3 linked regions of the Mus musculus genome follow. Each later gene encodes a partner of the first gene's protein in a complex. Links are inferred from orthologs where the notes say so. Each region holds a gene or a part of one and is shown in the gene's direction. Other genes may lie near its edges.

The links.
Region 2: Tox4 (region 1) and Ppp1ca share a complex: the UniProt entries of both Homo sapiens proteins name them as parts of the PNUTS-PP1 phosphatase complex. The link is inferred for Mus musculus from reciprocal best matches to the Homo sapiens genes TOX4 and PPP1CA.
Region 3: Tox4 (region 1) and Wdr82 share a complex: the UniProt entries of both Homo sapiens proteins name them as parts of the PNUTS-PP1 phosphatase complex. The link is inferred for Mus musculus from reciprocal best matches to the Homo sapiens genes TOX4 and WDR82.

The regions. Positions count from the first base shown.
Region 1 is NC_000080.6:52,292,486-52,296,024, forward strand, and holds the end of Tox4 (TOX high mobility group box family member 4), read left to right. Parts: intron 1-34; coding exon 35-198; intron 199-715; coding exon 716-776; 3' UTR 777-2,496; coding exon of another isoform or gene 2,497-2,608; 3' UTR 2,609-3,024; downstream 3,025-3,539. Other genes in the region: N6-adenosine-methyltransferase subunit METTL3, read right to left, coding at 2,497-2,608. UniProt on the Homo sapiens protein: Transcription factor that modulates cell fate reprogramming from the somatic state to the pluripotent and neuronal fate. In liver, controls the expression of hormone-regulated gluconeogenic genes such as G6PC1 and PCK1.
Region 2 is NC_000085.6:4,190,697-4,194,973, forward strand, and holds the start of Ppp1ca (serine/threonine-protein phosphatase PP1-alpha catalytic subunit), read left to right. Parts: upstream 1-1,477; 5' UTR 1,478-1,520; coding exon 1,521-1,575; intron 1,576-2,048; coding exon 2,049-2,180; intron 2,181-2,325; coding exon 2,326-2,556; intron 2,557-3,070; coding exon 3,071-3,175; intron 3,176-3,770; coding exon 3,771-3,994; intron 3,995-4,075; coding exon 4,076-4,210; intron 4,211-4,277. Other genes in the region: Tbc1d10c (carabin), read right to left, coding at 1-113. UniProt on the Homo sapiens protein: Protein phosphatase that associates with over 200 regulatory proteins to form highly specific holoenzymes which dephosphorylate hundreds of biological targets.
Region 3 is NC_000075.6:106,169,683-106,173,822, forward strand, and holds the start of Wdr82 (WD repeat-containing protein 82), read left to right. Parts: upstream 1-1,246; 5' UTR 1,247-1,536; coding exon 1,537-1,697; intron 1,698-4,140. UniProt on the Homo sapiens protein: Regulatory component of the SET1/COMPASS complex implicated in the tethering of this complex to transcriptional start sites of active genes.

The DNA.
Region 1 (3,539 bases):
TCTAATCCATCCTTGTATTGCTCCCTGTTTTAAGGTGGAGTCTCCTTCTCAGATGGATGTTGAATTGGTGAGTGGCTCCCCTGTGGCACTGTCACCTCAGCCTCGATGTGTGAGGTCTGGTTGTGAGAACCCTCCTGTTGTCAGTAAGGACTGGGACAACGAGTACTGCAGCAATGAGTGTGTGGTGAAGCACTGCAGGTGAGTTTAACAGTCCTTATAAATCAAGAGGTAGTGAAGTGAAACTGTTGGGGAGCATGGTACCCGTACCCGTGTGGACTGAGCATGACCTTATTAGGCAGAGCCACTTGACATGTGTGGGTGGGTAGGTATCTGATTAGAGATGCTCCTAGATGTTCAATTGCTTAGAGATGAGGATGTAGCTCAACTGACAACTGCTTGCCTGGCATGGGTAAGGTCCTGATTTCAATTACCAGTGTCAAAGAATTTGGTGAGGGATAGGTAAGGGGGAAAGTAGCAGAGTAAATGCTAAGTGTAGAGAAGGTGAGTAGTAAGTGAAAACTTTGCCCTTCTACCAAAATATCCCAGGGAATTACCTATATCCGTGAAAGGGCATATGTGTCCTCTACGAGGTGGATTGGCACAGTCTACCACATCTGACTTTTAGGCTACTTGATGATGTTATACTTTGGAGATGTAGGGAAATATTTGGGTATGGTTTTGCTATAATAAGTTTGTATGTATCTTTCTCTCTTAGGGATGTATTCTTGGCCTGGGTGGCCTCTAGAAATCCAAACTCTGTGGTGTTTGTGAAGTAGCCTTCGTCTTCTCCAAGCCTTGAAGATTCATCTGCTGAACACGAGTCCAAAAGCCTGTTTTTTTGTTTTGTTTTGTTGGTTTTCCAGACAGGGTTTCTCTATGTAGCCCTGGCTGTCCTGGAACTCATTTTGTAGACCAGGCTGGCCTCGAACTCAGAAATCCACCTGCTCTGCCTCCCAAGTGCTGGGATTAAAGGCGTGCGCCACCACCGCCCGGCCAAAAGCCTGTTTTTTAAACACAAACTGGGCTTCTGTAGTGCCTGACCTTTACCCATAGTCCTTCATGCCTCCATCTCCCTTTTCTTTCTTCAGCAGAGGCCAGACTATGTAGCAGGGCCAGCAAATTCACTGTAATTTAGAATTGCTTTTTACTCTCAACTGTAAGCAAAATTACCAGCTTACTAGCAAGCACAGGGAAGAGTGATGGGAGCAAATCATAGGGGTCATTAGAAGAAACATACCAGTAAAACGGTCAGACAACTTGCCTAGAATGTCATTGGGCGAGTGCTTTGCTTTGTTCTCGGCAGAAAAAGCTCTGGGAGAAGAGAGACTTAGGGTTTCAGCTCAGTGGTAAAGTGCACTGGGTTTAAATCCCAAGTGAAGGAGGAATGAAAATACTGATTTAAAATAAAATGTGTGATAGCCCTTTAAAAGGGAACTATTATTGATATACACAGTGCTATTAGGAGGAAGGTTTGAAGGCCTGGGGTTATGGCTTAGCACTATAAAGCTCTGAGTTCAGACCCCAGGCTGGAAGATCAGGAGTTCAAGGTCATCCTTGGCCCACTAGTGAGTTTGAGAACAGTCTAAGATGCATGAGGTAAAGGTTTTACAGAACATGGTGGCCCGTGCCTTTAATCCTAATACTTTGGAAGTAGACAGGAAGATTTTTGATCTGAACTTAAATCAGACTTTGTCTCAAAAAATAGACCGGGTGTGGTGGCACTCCCCTTTAATCCTACAACTTAGGAGGCAAGAGGCAGGTTGGATCTCTGAGCTTGAAGTTAGCCAGGATTACCTAGTGAGATCCTATCTTAAGGTCCCCCTCCCTGCTCCTGACAAAAACACACAAATTCTGTTTGTCTCAGTCTTAGCACATTGGGCTAGAGGGGAAACGACATCATCCAAAACGATCTTTTTCTGTACAAGTATTTCTTTACCTGACTTGGTTACCAGTTTTGCATGTAAGAAGCAGAACTCTATACCCCTAATAAGAGGTTTTACAAAGTAAAGAATCTGTGTTTGATGAAACATCTTTTAAATGTGCATTCATTTACATAATGCATAGGCCAATTTTTTATATTCTAAGCTCTAATTTTAATTGAAGGTACCTTGTTTTTCTTAGAAATTAGCTACAGACTAATAAACCAGCAAACGTACATAGAATAAGCAAAAGTTTAGAGTACCATATGCATGGTAAAATTCAAATTAATCCTGTTTATAGCATATTAATTGCTAAGCACTGTGAACCTGTGTAGTCTTTTCTAACACGCTAGGTAGCTAACATTCTTCTTTTACTTATAATGAATCACGCTAAATAAGAGTAGCACAAGGACACACACTAAGTGGAAAGCCATAATTTCACTTCAGAAATTCCAATTATAATACAAACTTTTATTTATTTATATACAGGGTAGGGGACACTATTGCGTAAACAGTCCTCTTAAGGTGTGGCCTGTAGCCCATGGCTCTGAACGCTTAGCTTTGTAAGGAAGTGCGTCTATAAATTCTTAGGTTTAGAGATGATGCCGTCCGGATACCTTTGCTTAAACCTGGCAACCACATCTGGGTCTAGTAGGTGTATCCCATCCAGTTGGTTTCCAAGAGTAATCCTAAAACAAGGGGGAAAGAAGAGGCAAACCAAAAATCCTGTAAGGGCTTAATACTTAAAATGTTCTACTTTCTGGTGATACCTATCTCAGGCTGTCCTGGAACTAACTCTCCATGTAGACCAGGCTAACCTTGAACTCAGAGATCTACTTGCCTCTGCCTCCCAAGTGCTGAGGCTAAAGGTGTGCTCTACTATGCCCAGTCCACGTCAATTTTTTTGGTTTGGTTTGGTTTGGTTTTTGAGACAGGGTTTCTTTGTATAGCCCCGGCTGACCTGGAACTCACTTTGTAGACCAGGCTGGCTTCAGAAATCCACCTGCCTATGCCTCCTGAGTGCTGGGATTAAAGGCATGCGCCACCACGCCCGGCCTACATCAACTTTTAAAAAGATCAGAGCAAATAATATGGCAGTGTCAATACAAAAACTGATTGGATTTTAATTTCTTTGGTGGTCCTAAGAGTTGAACCTAGGCACCTTACATATACACTCTTAAACTCTTAACACTACCAGCCCCCCTCCCCTTTTGAGACCTCTAAATAAGCATTGGCAGGCCTTAAGCTTGCAATCCTCCTGCTTCAGTCTCATGCCCCAAGATCCAGCCGGATCTGTCTATCTAAGGATTAGTAATTGATGGTAGCCAGGCCTACTTCATTCAGTCACTGCTAGTGAATAGTCCTTGGATAATTAAAATGCTCACCATTGGCATCAAACATTAAAACTGACAGATTGAATAAATACTTAGTAGCCACTAGGGGGCAGATTTAATATAGCCCACAGAATAGCTGACGATCCTTGGGCAGTTAGAGCTTTAAGAACAGCCCTTTGGGTTCTAATGAATGTTGTAGATTCTGGTAAAGCTTAAGCCATCTAGACTACCAGAATGTATACAACTCAGTGACATCTGTCTTTGTCCATAAAGGGTTTTTTGGGGG
Region 2 (4,277 bases), on another chromosome or scaffold:
TAACGGTCAGCCTGGCGATATGGACTGGGCCCACTCAGCTCTGAGTCAGACCCTAGGGAGCTAGAATCATCCTGTAGTTCTGATAACAAGTCCTCTCCCAGGGCCTGGGCCATTCTGCCCTGGACCCCAGTGTCACAGGCTGCAAGACATACAGAGAGCCAGTGTGAACAGCCAGACTCAGGCTGGGGATTCCAGCCACCAGTCCTCAGTCACAGGGGACTAAGCCCCCTCTTTTGCTGGGGAGTCGGGTAGACCCTGAGACCAAGTCTCTGTGCAGAGCCCCAGCCCCAAGCCTGGCCCCTACCCCAGCAGCCCGGCTCACCTCCTTGCTGCACCTCACCTCTTCTTCTCACTTCCTCCTCAGTCTCAGCTCAGCAGCTTGCTGGGGGCCCCTCCCTGGTGGGGGGACTCCCCCCTTCCTCTGTGAGGTTCTTCCTGCTTGCCCTAGTGCCAGAGCCACGACCTCCTCCCATCCAGAGGATGCTGGGTGTATTGATTCCCTGGCTGGCCCAAATTGAAGATGACAGGCCACCTTCAGTTTTACCAAGTAAAACCAATTTATGGTTCCAATAATAATTATCCTTTAATGTCATCCCACCCCTCCAACCCCCTGCCCCGGGTTTTTTGTTTTGTTTTGTTTTGAGAGTGAAGGGGTAGTGTGAGAACAGGGTCTTATGTAGCCCAGACAGGAGATGACCCTGAACTTCTGATCCTCCTGTGTCCAGACTCCTGAGTGCAGGAATTTCAGGCACTGGAATTATAGGTTTACGACACCAAGCCTACTTTAATGTTCCTTCCAGAGCCGGAGCTGGAACCTCAGGCCTTGCACATGCTAGACAAGTCCAAGTACTCTACAAAGGACTTACAACATGAACGAGATACAACGTATTACATCACTTATGGAAAAAAAATGGACGTAGCAGGCACCAAGGCAACCTGGACCAAAACACTGCTTAGAGTTCAGTAGCAGGTGTTCATGGGTCTGGCCATAAAGATGGAGGTGAATGTGAGGCTCCGGAGGTCTGGAGCCCACTCTCAGTATCATTAAGCCTTAGTTTCTTTTTCTGCACTTCGAGGAATTTATTTAGTGTTTGAGAAGTCAGCGATTAACATGCTCATACCACAGTCCCACGCAGGGCTGGGGTGGGAGAGACTTGGAAAGAGAAAAACAATTCCTACAGTACTTCCGGCCCTAACTCATCTGAACGCGGCAGGGCGATTCCTCCAGGGTGGAGCCGACCTAACCCCGCCCTACCGAACCCCGGCTCACCACCCCTGCCAGCCCCGCCCGCTCGCCCGAGGCCCTCTCGGGCTGCGGAGCTTCCCGTCCAGGGGAGGCGCTAGAGAGCGGGGAACTACGGACGCGGCAGGGCGGGGCGGGGCGGTCGACCGAAGAGGAGGGGCGGCGGGCCGGGGGCGGGCTGGGGAGGGCGGAAGGAGAGCCAGGCCGGAAGGAGGCTGTAAGAGGGCGGGAGGCAGGAGAGGGCCCGGAGCTGGTGGGCCGGAGCGGCGGCGCCGCCATGTCCGACAGCGAGAAGCTCAACCTGGACTCCATCATCGGGCGCCTGCTGGAAGGTGGGCAGGGGTAGGGAAGGTGCGCTCGCGCCGAGCCCGGGCCCCTCGCCGTCTGGAAGTGGCGCGCGGGCGGCCCGCCGCTCCCGGGGGCTAGCGTCGCTTGGGCGGGGACAGGCCGTGAGGATCCATGGCCACGGCACCCCCCCCCCCCGCGGGCGCCTGGGCTTTGGAGCGCGCTCAGAGGCCGGGGGTGCACGAGTGCCCGGGACTCAGGGTGAGGCTCCTGCGAAGCTAGCTGGGAAGGGATCCCGAAGCGAGGAAGCTTCGGCTGACAGGCTGCTGAGCACAGGCGTTTCTCTGGAGGCCCTCCGGGTGGCTAAGGGGTCGGATCTTGCCTTTGAAGGCCTGACGCAAAGGTTTCGGGGTGAGGGGGTGGGGGCTCACTTGCAACAGTTGCCCCTGTTAGGGGGGCGCGACACCTACCCTCGTCCGGTCTGCGAGGTCAGGGTCCCAAGACCCTATTCCGTACTCAGTGCAGGGCTCACGGCCTGGGAAGAACGTGCAGCTGACAGAGAACGAGATCCGTGGTCTGTGCCTCAAATCCCGGGAGATTTTCCTGAGCCAGCCCATTCTTCTGGAGCTTGAGGCGCCCCTCAAGATCTGTGGTAAATCCTTGCACAGAACCCTTTTGCTTCCTGAAAATAGCCCCTACTCGTGCCCCATTAACCGTGTTCCTCCACCCTTTAACCTATTGCTGGCCCTGGGGTCAAGTTTACATCTTGCACCTACCTAGTTTTCTCTGGTTCCCAGGTGACATCCATGGCCAGTACTATGACCTTCTACGGCTGTTTGAGTATGGTGGCTTCCCTCCAGAGAGCAACTACCTCTTCTTGGGGGATTATGTAGATCGGGGCAAGCAGTCTTTGGAGACCATCTGCCTGTTGCTGGCCTATAAGATCAGATACCCGGAGAATTTCTTTCTACTTCGTGGGAACCATGAGTGTGCCAGCATCAACCGCATTTATGGCTTCTATGATGAATGTAAGTGCTTTGAATGTTGCTGTCTGCCCAGAACTACATTCCCTGCTCTTCATGGGCCCCCTACATTGGTCTAGTGCCAAAAGACCCCCAATGATGAGCCCTGTAGGGCCCCAGCAACACGTCTGTCGTCCTTGGCGCTCAGGAGGGGCCTGGTGAATGGATGTACATGCAGGGCTGCCCATTTGCTAAAGCCACAGCCCTGCCTGATGACACCCCCTTCTAGTACATTCCTTAGTAAACATTTAGGATGCCTGTATGAATAAAACAGACCCACTCCTGGTTTGGCCTCATCCATGGGACCAGAGTGGGTACCACCATCATGGTTGGGCCAGACGAGTTCAGGTGTTGGAATTCTGGAAGGTAGATGAGGGTAGAGCAAAGAGAAGAATGTAAGCTTTCTTTGCTTTTCGGTCTTTTTTTCTCAGCTTTGTCCCTGGATGGGTGCACAGAAACCTAGACTGGGGTTGGGGGTTGGGGGTGTAGTCTTCCCTATGAGCCGCTTCCTTTTGCGCAGGCAAGAGAAGATACAACATCAAACTGTGGAAGACGTTCACTGACTGCTTCAACTGCCTGCCCATTGCAGCCATTGTGGATGAGAAGATCTTCTGCTGCCACGGGGGTGAGAGTGGTTGTGGGTCTGTGCTTGGGTTCTTGGGCCACATCCTTAGGGGCCTTGTAAAGTTAACAGAACTCTTCTCAGTTCCCTGGAATAGCGCTCCTTGAATCTCATCTTGGATATCGCTTATTAGGGGAGATTACCACACCCCCGTTTGTTTTTGAGACTGGCTTTCTGGGTAAAACCCTGACAGTCCTGGAACTCACTTTGTAGACCTGGTTGGCCTTGAACTCACTAGAGCTCCTGCCTATCTCTGACTCCCAAGTGATGGGATTAAAGGCATGCTCCACCCACCAGTTTGGTTGCACTCTTTCCTGTTGTGGCATGAGGCATCCTGTAGTCAACTCATTAATCTCCTTCTGCCCCCCCACCCCCGAGGTCTGCTATCTGTACTTCTAAGTGGTGGTGTCATATAAAGTGAGTTCCAGGACAGCCAAGGCCACAGAGAAATGGGGCCAGTGGGGAAGTAATGGATTCTGTCTCCCTGAACTTAAGGAGCCCAGATTAGCGGTGGGAACAGTGGAGCTGTCCCACCCCAGAGCTGGGCACAGGACAGCACTTGGTTTAAGGAACACTATTCCCACTCCACCACCCCCAGGCCTGTCTCCAGACTTGCAATCCATGGAGCAGATTAGGCGTATTATGCGGCCCACAGACGTGCCTGACCAGGGCCTACTGTGTGATCTCCTGTGGTCTGACCCTGACAAGGATGTTCAAGGCTGGGGCGAGAATGACCGTGGTGTCTCCTTTACCTTTGGGGCTGAGGTGGTAGCCAAGTTCCTGCACAAGCATGATTTGGACCTCATCTGCAGAGCACATCAGGTGGGCTGGTGGCCTGGGGCGGGCTGGGGGTGGGGGTGGGGTGCCTAACTTACAGACTAAACCGTTCCTGCCCTGGCCCAGGTTGTAGAAGATGGCTATGAGTTCTTTGCCAAGAGACAGTTGGTGACACTCTTCTCAGCTCCCAACTACTGTGGAGAGTTTGACAATGCTGGTGCCATGATGAGTGTGGATGAGACCCTCATGTGTTCCTTCCAGGTGGGTGTGGGGAAGAGGCTGCCCAATAGACGCCTGGCTCAACCCCAGGACCCTGATGAGTGTTTTC
Region 3 (4,140 bases), on another chromosome or scaffold:
GGCTATTTAAAGTCTAAAGCAAGGCCACCTTAGAAGGCTCAGAAGGTAAAAGCATGTGTGCACGCACTCACAGACACACACACACACTAGTTTTTAAAGAGGCCTAAAATAGTTCCAGATCCTTTGCCTACATTTGATGTCTCCACAATTGCGATGTTGTAGTCAGCCAGTCTGCAGGATCTTTATTGTAGATGCTCTTCAGAAAACTTCAGTTCCCACAGCAAGTCGGGCACATGGCACCAGATCTGTCCTTGCTATCTCAAGCTCCATAGCAGCCTGGATCACCTGGATCACCTAAACTCAAAGGCAATCACTGGGGATTGAGTGCAACCACCTGTGGAAGGTTTTTCTAGAACAGATTTGCAATTTGGAAAGTTGCCATCCATTCAGGTTTCACTCAAACTGGTTCCTTCCCTTCCTCACACCCCGGAACAGATTGTAGCCAGGAACTCTGCCCTTTGTCAGGAGACAACTGCAGTACAAACTTACAATCTTGTCGTTTTCCCTCAGCCAACCACTTCCAGTTCTATCTAGCTACCTTTTTTCTTTAACCTAAGAACCTGAGATGCAACCCCCCCGCACATTTTTCAAGAAGGCTCCATTTTTTTCTCGTGTTCCATTTCGTCGTTTGTCAACCCAGGTTATAAGGGACTCTGGTTGTCATGCCTTTGCAATCACCTGCCAGTGAGTGAAATGTCCCTTCCTAAGGTTCCCCCTCCTCCCGCACTAGAAGTTAGGGATCTTCATGCGCTTCGACTCTCATTAAATTTTAAAAGAAGTTCCAAGCTTCTGAAGTTTAATATAAACCCAGTTGAAAATGCCACTTAAAACTTCGTGCAAGTGTATGTTGTACATCACTCAACTAACAAATCGAAGCCTCCTGGCTCGGCCGTGCAGTGGTTAAGTCAGTCGGTGATGGGTTCACCTGATTCACACCCACACACGAGCAGGCCTCTCCGCCAGGTCCTGCGGCCTCAGAGACACCAGCGTCTCCCCGGGGCTTGAGAGCACCCACAAAGGCACTAGCCCCGAGGCGACCTCAAGTCCTGCCCTCGAGAGAGAGGGTTTAGATGCTCCACGCCCGCAGGTTCACACCCCAGAACCGCGGGCTCCAGCTCCGGGGCCTCAGCAACGGGAGGCCGCCCCGCTGACGTCATCGTCCCGCCCCCCCTCCCCCAGCTCGCGCCTCCGTTCCCTCCCCGCCCCCTTTCCCGGCGTCCGCCGCGACACAAGCTCCTCGCCCTCTGATTTTGCTTCTCCCTTCAAGATGGCGGACACAATGAGCCGGCGGAGCGCCGGTTGGCCCTGAATTGACTCCGGAGAAGAACGGTCAGCGAGGTCCCGTCGTCCGGGCGAGAGAGCGTCGCCTGAGGAAGAGGACGCGGCAGCCCCACTGTCAGCCGTCCTTCGGTTCGTCTCCAGCGCGGCGCCCGCACCGCCGGGGTTGGCCCTGAGCAGCCCGCCCGATCGCTCGCCTCTCGGCCCCGCCCCGGCCCTGCGCCGCCGCTGCCTTCAGCAGCAGCAGCCGCCGCCGCCATGAAGCTGACCGACAGCGTGCTCCGGAGCTTCCGCGTCGCCAAGGTGTTCCGCGAGAACTCAGACAAGATCAACTGCTTTGACTTTAGTCCCAATGGCGAGACGGTCATCTCTAGCAGCGATGATGACTCCATCGTGCTCTATGACTGCCAGGAGGGCAAGTGAGTGTGATAGTGGCCGAGTTCCAAGTGCCCCTCTCCTTCCCTCTGTCGCTGGTCCCCGACTGAGCCCCCACCCCCAACCCCAGGCATGTGGTGCAGGCGCTCTTGCCAGGGCCACCTCCATCCCGCAGTGCTGCAGGAGATCCTCTTTAAGATGATGATGGTTCTTAGTTCATGTGTCTTTGCTCTCTTCCGAGCGCGCTTTTCCCGCTTGCCAAACCCCACCTTGACCTTGACCTTTAAACGCCATGTCCCTGCACCCTGCAGCCGGACGGATAGCCCTTTCCACTCCCCTGGCGACTGTCAGAATGTGCGGGTGGACTCTGAGCTCGATGCAGAACGGCAGGAGCTGTGTTCTGTCCATCAGTGGCGTCCAGCTCTCTGCCTTCACAGCAGTGACCTGGATTCAGCCCTGGCACGGTGCCCGCCCCCTACCCCTCAGCTTCCCGCGCGGCTTTTCTGCAATCAAGCCCCGCGGGATGCAGTTTTTAAGCTGTCAGGATTTATCGATTGTGCCCATGTGAGCTTGCTGTCCTTTCCCAGTACCAATACCCAGGCTTACAGTTAACTTACTAAACAGACTCTTGGAAACTTTTCTTTGCCAGACTCCTGAGAACTTGGCCGCCCCATTCTGGTCAGAATGTGAGCTCTCTTTAAAACAAAGAAAGCATTCCGGAACAATTTAGTGTTTCCTTTTGCATTACAAAAAAAACCCAAGTTTGGCCGCTTAGCCAGTAATCTCAGCATTTGGGCGATAGAGGCAGTCAGACCCTGAGTTCTGGACTTCATAGCAGAGAGACCCTGACTCAAAACAGTTAAAAAACAAAAAACAATAACCGCCAGATTGTGGTTTGCTTATAGTTATCAAAGTTTTGGAATTCTGGAACTGGTTATGGAAATTATGTTAGTTGGAGAACTTGTGTATCTTTGCCGTTTTCATAGCCTGGGTGTGAGGAAGACATTGCCTGTCTCATCTCTGGAAGTTCAAATCCTCGATAAGTAAGCAGTGACCTCTTTTGTAGCAGAAACTAGTTTAGGCTAAATTTGATTCCCTTTGTCAACTTCAGCTTCCTTCCTAAGCAGGAGGTGTTTAGTTTAATAGCTACTGTTTTCGACATTATGTTAAAGTTACCTGTTTTTGAATCCTTGGCTTTTTCTCTCCTTTTTGCAGCTGTTCTCTTTGTTTATTATTTTTTTCAAATAATAGTTTTCTTTTGGAACTTGTCTCTGAGTTTATCTAAAGTAAAGCTATTGTAGAATGAGCTGTATATGATATTGTCCTTGATGGGTTTCCTCGCTGGAGCTCCAACAAAGTATTACGTAACTGTCGTTGGACTTGAGCTTGCTGTATGTGGGAGAGTTTCCTACAGTGGTGATCCTGGGGAAGAGAAAATTACTAACTGGACAAATAGTTATTTGAATTGATGTTCATATTTGTGTATTGATTATTATCATACACTGGTCTGACTATTTGATTCTGTTTGGAACTACAAGTAATTTGAAATTGGTTTGTCTGACATGTTTGGTGCAATACATAGCTTAGAATCTCCCCCCCAAATCTGTAATGGAAATGCATATCCTATTCAAAGGAATAAAACACTAAGACTGAAAAAAATGTTTATTCAGGCATGTAACCTTTTTACATGATTACAAACTTACAGAAAGTTACAATGCTCCAAAGAACTTTCTTGAAAAAAGAACGTGTCCAGCAGTGCCTATAATTTCAGCGCTTGGGAGCTGGGGGTGCGAATCCAAGGCAGCTTGAACAGCTGTCCCAAAAAGGAAATGTAAGGGCTGGAGATGGCTACAGGCACTTGCTCTTAGAGAGGAACAAGTGGACTCCTACACCTTGTAACCATCTGTAACTAGTTCCAGGGGATTTGACCCCTAATTCTGATTTCTTGAGAGATGGCTCAGCTGTTAAGAGCACCTCTTCCACAGGTCCTGAGTTCAATTCCCAGCAACCACATGGTGGCTCACAACCATCTATAATGGGATCCAATGCCCTCTTCTGGTGTGTCTGAAGTCAGCTACAAGGGTACTCCTATAAATAACATAAAGAAGTCTTCATAAAGAGAGAAGTTTGTGGGGGGAAAAAAGTCCAGGAGCTAGAGAGATGGCTAACATGTGGTTAAGAGCGCATGTTAATTTTGCAGAGAACCTAGGTTAATCAGCAGCACCCACGTGGAGGCTCACAATTACATTTAACTCCAGTTGCAGGGGATCTGATGTTCTCTTCTGGATTCCATGTGCATCAGACCTGCATAGGGTGCCCATATATACAAGCAAGCAGACAAAATGCTCATATACATAAAATCAGTAAATGTAAAAATATATATGTATAGAAGAATAATCCAATAATTCCAACAGTAGAAGAAAATAACTGTTTCTTTGGAAGTAACATCTTTATTAGATAATACCAGTAGTAGAATTTGGGTATTTG